Ovis aries: one gene and its partner. The protein of the gene in region 1 purifies or fractionates together with the protein of each later gene. This does not show direct contact. Links are inferred from orthologs where the notes say so. Each region holds a gene or a part of one and is shown on either strand. Other genes may lie near its edges.

The links.
Region 2: the proteins of UBR2 (region 1) and UBE2B purify together in Homo sapiens (affinity purification with western blotting; 3 studies listed by BioGRID, with this or other methods). This does not show direct contact. The link is inferred for Ovis aries from reciprocal best matches to the Homo sapiens genes UBR2 and UBE2B.

What each region holds. Positions count from the first base shown.
Region 1 is NC_056073.1:16,300,322-16,304,135, forward strand, and holds part of UBR2 (E3 ubiquitin-protein ligase UBR2), read left to right. Parts: intron 1-1,728; coding exon 1,729-1,988; intron 1,989-3,814. UniProt on the Homo sapiens protein: E3 ubiquitin-protein ligase which is a component of the N-end rule pathway.
Region 2 is NC_056058.1:43,581,003-43,585,616, forward strand, and holds the start of UBE2B (ubiquitin-conjugating enzyme E2 B), read left to right. Parts: upstream 1-1,769; 5' UTR 1,770-1,896; coding exon 1,897-1,940; exon of another isoform or gene 1,941-4,049; coding exon 4,050-4,130; exon of another isoform or gene 4,131-4,614. UniProt on the Homo sapiens protein: E2 ubiquitin-conjugating enzyme that accepts ubiquitin from the ubiquitin-activating enzyme E1 and transfers it to a E3 ubiquitin-protein ligase. In vitro catalyzes 'Lys-11'-, as well as 'Lys-48'- and 'Lys-63'-linked polyubiquitination.

The DNA of each region.
Region 1 (3,814 bases):
GGGTAATGGAGGCAGTGCCAGTAGAGATGGAGAGAAAGAAATGGGTGGATTCAACAGATGTTGAGGAATCCTAATAGACAAGACATGATGATTAACTGAATGTTGTTTTTCTGGTTTGAATACCTGGTAAATGCTGGTGTTTAAAATAGGGAAATGGAGAAAATAGCAGGGGGTTTTGTGTTGTGGGAGATCATGAGTTCAATTTGGGACATATTGAGTTGGTGCCCGAAAGGAAAAACTATTTCTTCTGTTTCTGTTTACATTCACACCAACACTCCCAGCCACCAAATGTAGGGGAATGGTTTTCCCACATCAAGCAATTCTCTCCTCAGCAGACACCAATTGGGTGCCCTACAAGTTGGTCAATTCTGACACTATATACCTGGAGGTAGCATCAGATCCCCAAAATTAAGGGCTCAGTCCCACAAAGCTGCCCCCATTACTACTTCAGATGCCACTCATAAGCAGGGGGTTGTCAGGTTACCCACAATTTATGTTGCAAATGAGGGGAGTTCCTGTGACCCCCTCTTTGGGTTCAATAGTTTGCTGCAGTGGCTGCCAGAACTCAAGGAAGCAGTTTATTTACTAGGTTACCTGTTTATTATAGAATGATACAACTCAGGAATAATCAAATGAAATAGAGGAAGGTATGTGGAGCTTCCATGCCCTCCCTGGGCACGTTAGCACCTCTGCCTGTTCACCAAGGAAGAAAGTGGCTGAACCTCGACACTTTGGGATTTTTATGGAGGCTTCATGCCTCCAAAGGCGTGATGATCAAATCATTGGTCATGAGTGATTAACTTCACCTTCAGCACCTCTCCCTTCACCGAAGTTGGTTGGGGTGGAGGCTCTAAGTTCCCACCTACTAATCATGTTCCTGTGGCAACCAGCTCCCCATCCTTAGGGGCTTTCCAAAAGTCACCTCAGTAACTGCAGTTCAGGTCTGATTGAAAGAGGTTTGCTTTGAATAACAAAAGACACTCCTTTCTCCTTTATCTCACTTATACTTAGGACATTTCAAGAGTTTTAGGAGCTCTGTGCCAGGAATGAGAAAACCAAAAATATGTTTCTTATTGTAAATTATAATATCACAATATCTGTTAGATATCTAAGTAAAATTACCACAGGTAGTAGGGCATGAAAGTTTGGGTACAGGAAAAAGTGGCTTTCTAAAATGTTTTAAGGGTTTAAGCAGAGGTTGATCAGGGGGAAAAGAACATAATCATTAAAACAAAGTCTCTTGTGCCGTGTCATTTATTAATCATTGAGAAATAGAATTAGTATATTGGCTGTTCATGTTTACTGTATGTTCTTCCTGTCAGCAAACTGAAAAGAGAATCCAGATCACAAGCAGAGTATCATTTGAACAAAAGAAATTAGAAAGGAAGTCGGATGGGCTCAATGGCTAGCATCTTTAAGATGATTTGTTGTGGTTATTTTCCTGGACTGCCTATAGAAGGTTGCTTCAGGAGTCATTTTGAGGAGATGGGCTCATTTCACTGTTGATTTTGCTTTCACTTTAAGTAGAATTCTAAGATACTGGCTATTGTAGTTAAATTCTAAATGTTTTACCCTTTTTGAAAAGGCATACAGTGATGAATGTTGTCAATAAAACAATTTATAAGATTCTTTTGTCATTATTTTTTGTGTCTAGAAGAAAATAGAGTAGATTTATTTAAATTTGCAGTTTCTTGACTTTGTTTAAAATTATTTTTTCTTTTTTTAAAGAAATGGCTGCAAGCAACTGACCTCACTAGAGAAGTATACCAGCATTTGGCCCACTATGTACCCAAAATCTACTGCAGGGGTCCCAACCCTTTTCCACAGAAAGAAGACATGTTGGCACACCAAGTTTTGTTGGGACCAATGGAATGGTACCTTTGTGGTGAAGATCCTGAGTTGGGATTTTCCAAACTTGAACAAACAAATAAACCTTCTCATCTTTGTGGTCGTGTTTTTAAAGTGGGAGAACCTACATACTCTTGCAGGTAAGATATTGCCATTTTCTTTCTTTCCTTCTTGTTTTCACTTGACTTATTTTTTTCTTGAAACCTTACATTTTAATTTTTAAATTATGAAATATTTTATATATGTATGTGTGTGTAAGTCTACACAACAAATATATTTGGTTTAATAACTTATTATAAACAAATGTTATTTTCCAGGTCAAGAAGTAGAGTATCACCAGGATTTCAGAAACCCATAGTGTGCTTTCTTCCTCCCCCACAGTTAACCCCTACCTTGACTCCTGTAATGATCGCTTTCCTGCTTTTCTTGATGGAGTGATTCTTTCTGATGTTCGAATTACCCCATGTTTGGCCTTTGAGTGCCCCATCACGCTAGCTTCTTGGTCCCTTTTCCCGTGCCTTTCATAGTCTTTGGGTGCTTCTTTGCTTTCTGGCACAAGATGTCCACACCTCACTTTGTACTTACTCTGACCCATATGTGCAATCAGTCACTTATGCAGGGAGTTTCCTTTTAGTTGGGAATGTTAGAAACTGTGGTCTGGGTGCTATATGTACTTACTGCTACTAGGCTGACTTTAAATTTCTTGTTGAGAATTGAGTGTACAAGGGTAGAAGATGGAGAGGAAAGTGCTCTGTTTCCCTTTAGGACGATCTCCTATTTCTCAGAACTAATCATTATTGACAAACTCTTATGTAGCCTTCCAGAAATTTTCTGTGCATATACATGCCCATATATGGGGCTATCTTAAACATATATATGCAGACATACGTAGAAAAGGGACTATGGTAGATATACTGGGCTAAGTTTTCCTTTCTCTACAAAATCTTGCCATTGATATCTGTCCATGTCAGCTCATATAGCTAGATAATGTTCCATGTGTGGATGCAGTATTGATTGTATAATATTTTTTCTTTTAGACTTTTTCCCATACAACTTAATTTTGGTTATAACTTCTGGGTGTCTGTGGCAATCTTTCTTTATGGTTAGAATACCAGTCAAGAGCTTTTTGTATATTGAAAGACTGTTAGATCTAGTTTTTTGTTTGTCTGTACAGAAACCTAAGTCCCTTATTGGTATTTGGAGCAGTAGATCTAGTTTAATCTCATGATTTACAGATGAGGAAACTGAGATCCAGTTGTTGCAATAACATCCTTTGTATCAAAAATATCCAGTTCCAAAACATGCATTTGTATGTCACGTCTTTCAGTCTTCAGTTTGGAATGTTGCATTGGTTTTTCTTTGGCTTTCATGATCTGGACACTTTTGACAAGCACAGGCCATTTATTTTGTAAATGCCTGTCAGTTTGGGTTTGTCTGTACCCTTCATGGTTATAGTCAGGTTGTCTCTTTCACAGAAATATTACAAAAATCACATGTTCTCAGTGTTCCAGTAGCATATGATTTTGGTTTGGTTCAAAAGCTCTTTAACTTTGATCACTTGATTAGGGGATTTCTGCAAGGTTTCTCTACTGTGGAGTTACTCTTTTTCCCTCTCTAATCACTAAATATTTGGTGGTGAGATACTTTGAGACTATTAAATATCCTGTTTCTTACCAAATATTCAGTTTTTTATTTGTATCAGTATGTATTCATGGAGTCCCATTATTCTGGTGGTCAAAATTGTCCTAGATTTGACCAGTGGGAGGCCCTTCAAGCAGTTTCCCTGGTGGCTCAGACGGTAAAGAATCTGCCTGCAATATGGGAGACCTGGATTCCATCCCTGGTTGGGAAGATCCCCTGGAGAAGGGAAAGGCTACCCACTCCACTATTCTTGCCTAGAGAATCCCCATGGACACAGGAGTCTGGCGGGCTGCAGTCCATGGGGTTGCAAACAGTCAGACACAAC
Region 2 (4,614 bases), on another chromosome or scaffold:
GGACAACGTATGATTCTTGCTTATACAATAAAGCTCTCGGACTTTAATGAAACTTACTTGATTTGATCGAAAGCATTACTTCATTCTGGAAAACCATGAACTGTAGATTTCCAAAACAACTATAATTGCTAAACAAATGACACGACAGATTAAAAAAAAATTTTAGCATTTCACTGTAGGTAACCCTAACAGTATGTCTCCATCCTTAGCTATAGGGATTGCTATGGCAAAAAAATGAAAATAAGAAAATAACTTTTTGACTTAGAGAATTACATTTGTCGGTGGGTATCTATCAAGTATTAGATCTGGCTAACTTGATTACCAAGGCATTTAATAAAAGCAAGAGAAAGAATTCAGGGATTGAAGAAAGAGAGGTACCAGAAAAGTAGGGGAAACTAACCCTTTCTAGTTCAATGAAAGTATGCCCAACGCCATATTCCTCATTCTGTCTTACTGTAACACCTTGGGTTGAGGAATCACCCAAATGGACTTAAAGAGCTCAGGGTTCAGCCAAAAAAAAAGTCTTTAAGAACAGAATTGGAGGCGATAGAGGAAGGAAACTCAATGACTAGAAATAATGTCAGAATTCCAACGGCCAGTATCTCTGAGCCCCGGTGGGGGACGTTTCAGGCTATTAACTTACTAGTGTTGAAAATCTGAAATAAATTACTCAGGCTAGATATACAACCCCTATCCACGTCTGCATGATCTCTCCCCCACATGTGAGTCAAACTTTTAGGTTTGGCAACTAGTCACCTACACTCTCTTTATACACACTCTCTATGATCAAACCTGCACATTTCTTGACAAATACAATGGTACCCCACTGTAGACCAATCCAAGGACTCTGACACAAAGCCTCAAATAAGAGCAGACTCATAAAGGATAAACAAAATTCCGTAATCCTGTGGGGATTGTAAACAAACATTAAACAATCTGTACACCGTTCTTTAATCTCTGCCCAGCATCGCCAACCCTGGAAACACACTGCAATGCTCATACAGTAATATTTGGTGGCCCTAAGGAAGCATTTCAGGGGATTTCGCTTTGTATGGGCCTCTGCATTCAGCTGAGGAAAACGGAGGTCCCTTCACTTTTCCTCAGATGCCAGATTTGATAAGCCATTGAGCCAACCAGAGGGGAGTTTTAAATCCAAATTATTTGGGGCTCTATTTTAAAGATTTAAGAAGCAAAACAAACTACTGCTTCCGACACAATCTCATCAATAGCTGTCCACAGGACAAAATGGAGAAAAAACATAAAAGTGCCTACCAGCCCTCAGCCCATAAATTTAACTACCGGGCTGAAAGACGGCTGAAAGTTAGATCCAGGAGACGCTCTCACGTGATCCGTCCTAATGGCGTCATAGGGACACGTGGTTCTAGATACTTCGTCCCCTCCCCCTCGGAGGTGGATTGTTGACAACGCCGCCGGCAGTCACGTGATCTTACGTCATCCTACCTCCTTTCCCTGAAATCTCTGGCCCCGGATGCGTCCCTCTCTCCCCACCCGGCTGAGCCTAAACTAGTGAAAGAGGGGGAGACGGGTTGGTGTTGTTTCAGTTCCGGTACTTCTTTATCACAACCTCCAGTCTGAGCATAAGGAACAGTAATTGGTCAATTCGTTCAAGGAGACAAAAGGGATAAGGTCCCTGGTGAAGGGGCCCCGTAACTAGCTCTCCTACGTCCCGTTCCCTTCTCCCCCACCCCTCACTGCATGGTACCGGCGGAGGGCGGAGGGATCTGGAGGCGGCGGAGGGAGACGTCATTGCAGGGTTGTTTGTGCAACCTCGGCAGCGGCGGCGGTGACCCACAGTGATTCGGCCGCCGCGCCGGGGGGTGGGGGGGCTGCGCGGGACTCTTTTCTTTCAGACTGACCGCGGGGCTGCTGGGGAGCATGTCGACCCCGGCCCGGAGGAGGCTTATGCGGGATTTCAAGAGGTAAGGGCCTTCATTTTCGCCTGAATGACGACTCCTCCCCGAAGCTCCGGGGCTAGGGTGGGGATCCGGGACACCTTCCCCTCTTGACCCTAAGAGGGCTGCTGTGGGCCCAGGGGGACAGATGGAAGCCCAGTTCCAGCCCCGCTTTAGCACTCTCTTCTCCTTGGTTGTTCACTTGTCCTACGTAAGAAATTTTGATACTTCCTCACCACCACCCTACCCCCACAAAAAAGTAAAAAGATGGCTATGGTTTGTCCTACGATTCCCTGCTGCCCACTGCGGCCAGTTGCCTGATACCTCGCCCTGGCTTTCAAATCTCATCCTTCGCCTCTGCACCCTGCGGTGCCTCTTCTCTCTGCCCTAAGAGCGAGCCCTTGCAGAAGCCTTTCCACCGCTAGCTACACCAGTCAGCTTTGTTCGATGGCCTTGCCGCCTTTCCGACTGCCAGGGTTGGGGCCAACCCCCGCCTCCCTCCCCATTCTTTCTGCAGTGAGGGTGGGGTCTGATGCGCGAGGGCCGGAGGTTGTTAACCCATCCTCCGAAACCCGACTCTTCCCCCCCCAATCCCTCCCCGCCCGCCTGAAAGGACCTTGAGAACTGGCTTAGAGGGCTGCGATTCGGGCTGGCAAACCCGGCTGCCAGTGCTTTCTGGAACTCAGCTCTGTGGCCTGGTGTGTAAAGACCTATCTATAGCCTCCAAGGTCTGGAAAAATGCCTTTCTGGAGGCTGGGGCTAAGCTGATACTCCCTGAGCCTCTTTTGTAAAATAGGGTTTTGTTAGATATTAGGGTTGATGAGGAGGAAGTGACTTTTTTCCCCCCAGTTGTTTTACTTTGAATGCTTACAGGTACGGAGAAGAAAATAACCAAGAAAACTTAGCGTTACGCTCCCGTGCGCATTTATAAGTGTTTTTCTAGGGAGATCTGCCCTGCTCGAGAGAAAAAATCCAGTGTAAAAACTTGGATTGGCTTATCAGGAAGTAACCTCTCAACTTCATTGTAAACCTTTAAATGAGGCACTTGGAAGCCATTGTTTGGGGCTTTGCCCAGTTTGGCCTTGAGTGTATTGGTAACTTAGCCTTTATCTTTGGTGGGCGATATCACGCCCCGTATCTTCCAAGGGTTCTTCTTTTCGTCGTGGCCTGTACTGCTTAAGGTTGACTAAAAGCCATTTTGGGGGACTAATTCCAAGAATCATATCACATGACGGTGTGTTTATGTGTGTGTGTGTGTGTGTGTGTGTGTGTATATTTAGTGTCGCGTTTACTTTTTTTCCTGAGATGACAGTTTTAAAAGGAGATACTCCTTTTTGTGCAAAACTCTGTTTCTACAGCTTGAAACCATAGATTTCAGATTAGCTCCCATGAGTGAAATTCCAATAATAAAATTTCGAGGTTCCTGGCCTTTGGTACCCTGGTTTCTCATTGCAGTTCTCTGCTTAATTCTGAGTTGTGTGCTTGGCACCTTCGGTAGTTTTCCAAGGGTCGTCTTTTGCAAGAGTTTGTAACAGGTGTTGGAAGGTAGCTCTGTATATGGGCGCATGATCTGAGAGGTAAAATGCAGTATTGGTGCAGAGCTTTTAAAATAGGGACTGAGGGAAAACCTAGCCAGAGCTTTGCTTACTCTAAAAGCTGCTGCTAACGCAAATGGAATAAAGTAGTTCTACTGCCCAAAACTAGTTTCCTGATTAAACTGGATGCAAGTGTTTTTCAGTCATTTAATGTTTACACTGAGGTGGGGTCTTTATATTTTGTTTGGGGGAGAGTTTTTTTGGTGGCCATGTTGCCCAAGTAGCTTTGGTTAGGACTCACACAGCCTTTGCATGTTTACAGTAGCAAAATTGATAGTTGAGTAAATAGTGTTTTTTTACACTTGAGGTTTTTCCTTTGTTGTTATTGTTAAAAGTAGTTCTTGAACAGATATCTTAACCTTGGTGATATTTGAAGAGGGATGACTCCCAAGCCATTTAAAGTGGTATGGTTTATTCCAGCTCAGCACAACAAGAAAATGGATTTAGTTTGTTTCTCAAAGTAGATGGTTGAAAGATGTTTGACTGGCCTTCTTAGTGGCCTTAATGTTCAACTTTTAAAATTTCTATTCTGGATTTCTAGATTGCAAGAGGACCCACCTGTGGGTGTCAGTGGCGCACCATCAGAAAACAACATCATGCAGTGGAATGCAGTTATATTTGGGTGAGTTGAAAGAAATAACAAATGGTAGGTATGGTGATTCTTTTAAGAAAATTGAATGTATAACAGCTAGGAAGGGAAACTTTCCTAGGGATGAGGGATCTTACAGAAACTGTAAGATTTAAAAAAAATTCTGATAGAGTTTTGGCAGTCACATAAAATTTGATTTTATAATCAGTGGGTTTTATTTGATAAAAATATCATTTGAGACTACAGGAGAATGATAAGTTTGTACAAAATGTGCCAAGCAAATGCTTAGTATGTATTCTACTAGAACTGTAAAAAGAGTAGGAACCAAAAATATTGATAACTTCCACCATAGTAAGAATTTAAATAAAAAATGTTTGACAGCTTAATGTGAAATAACTGTATGGAGCCTTTCAAGGTGCAGTCTTATATTTTACATATAGTATGTATTGCATGTAGGCGTATTTGTATAAGAGCATTATTTCTTCATGCTCTTTCTTTGGTTTTCCTGAACTGGATT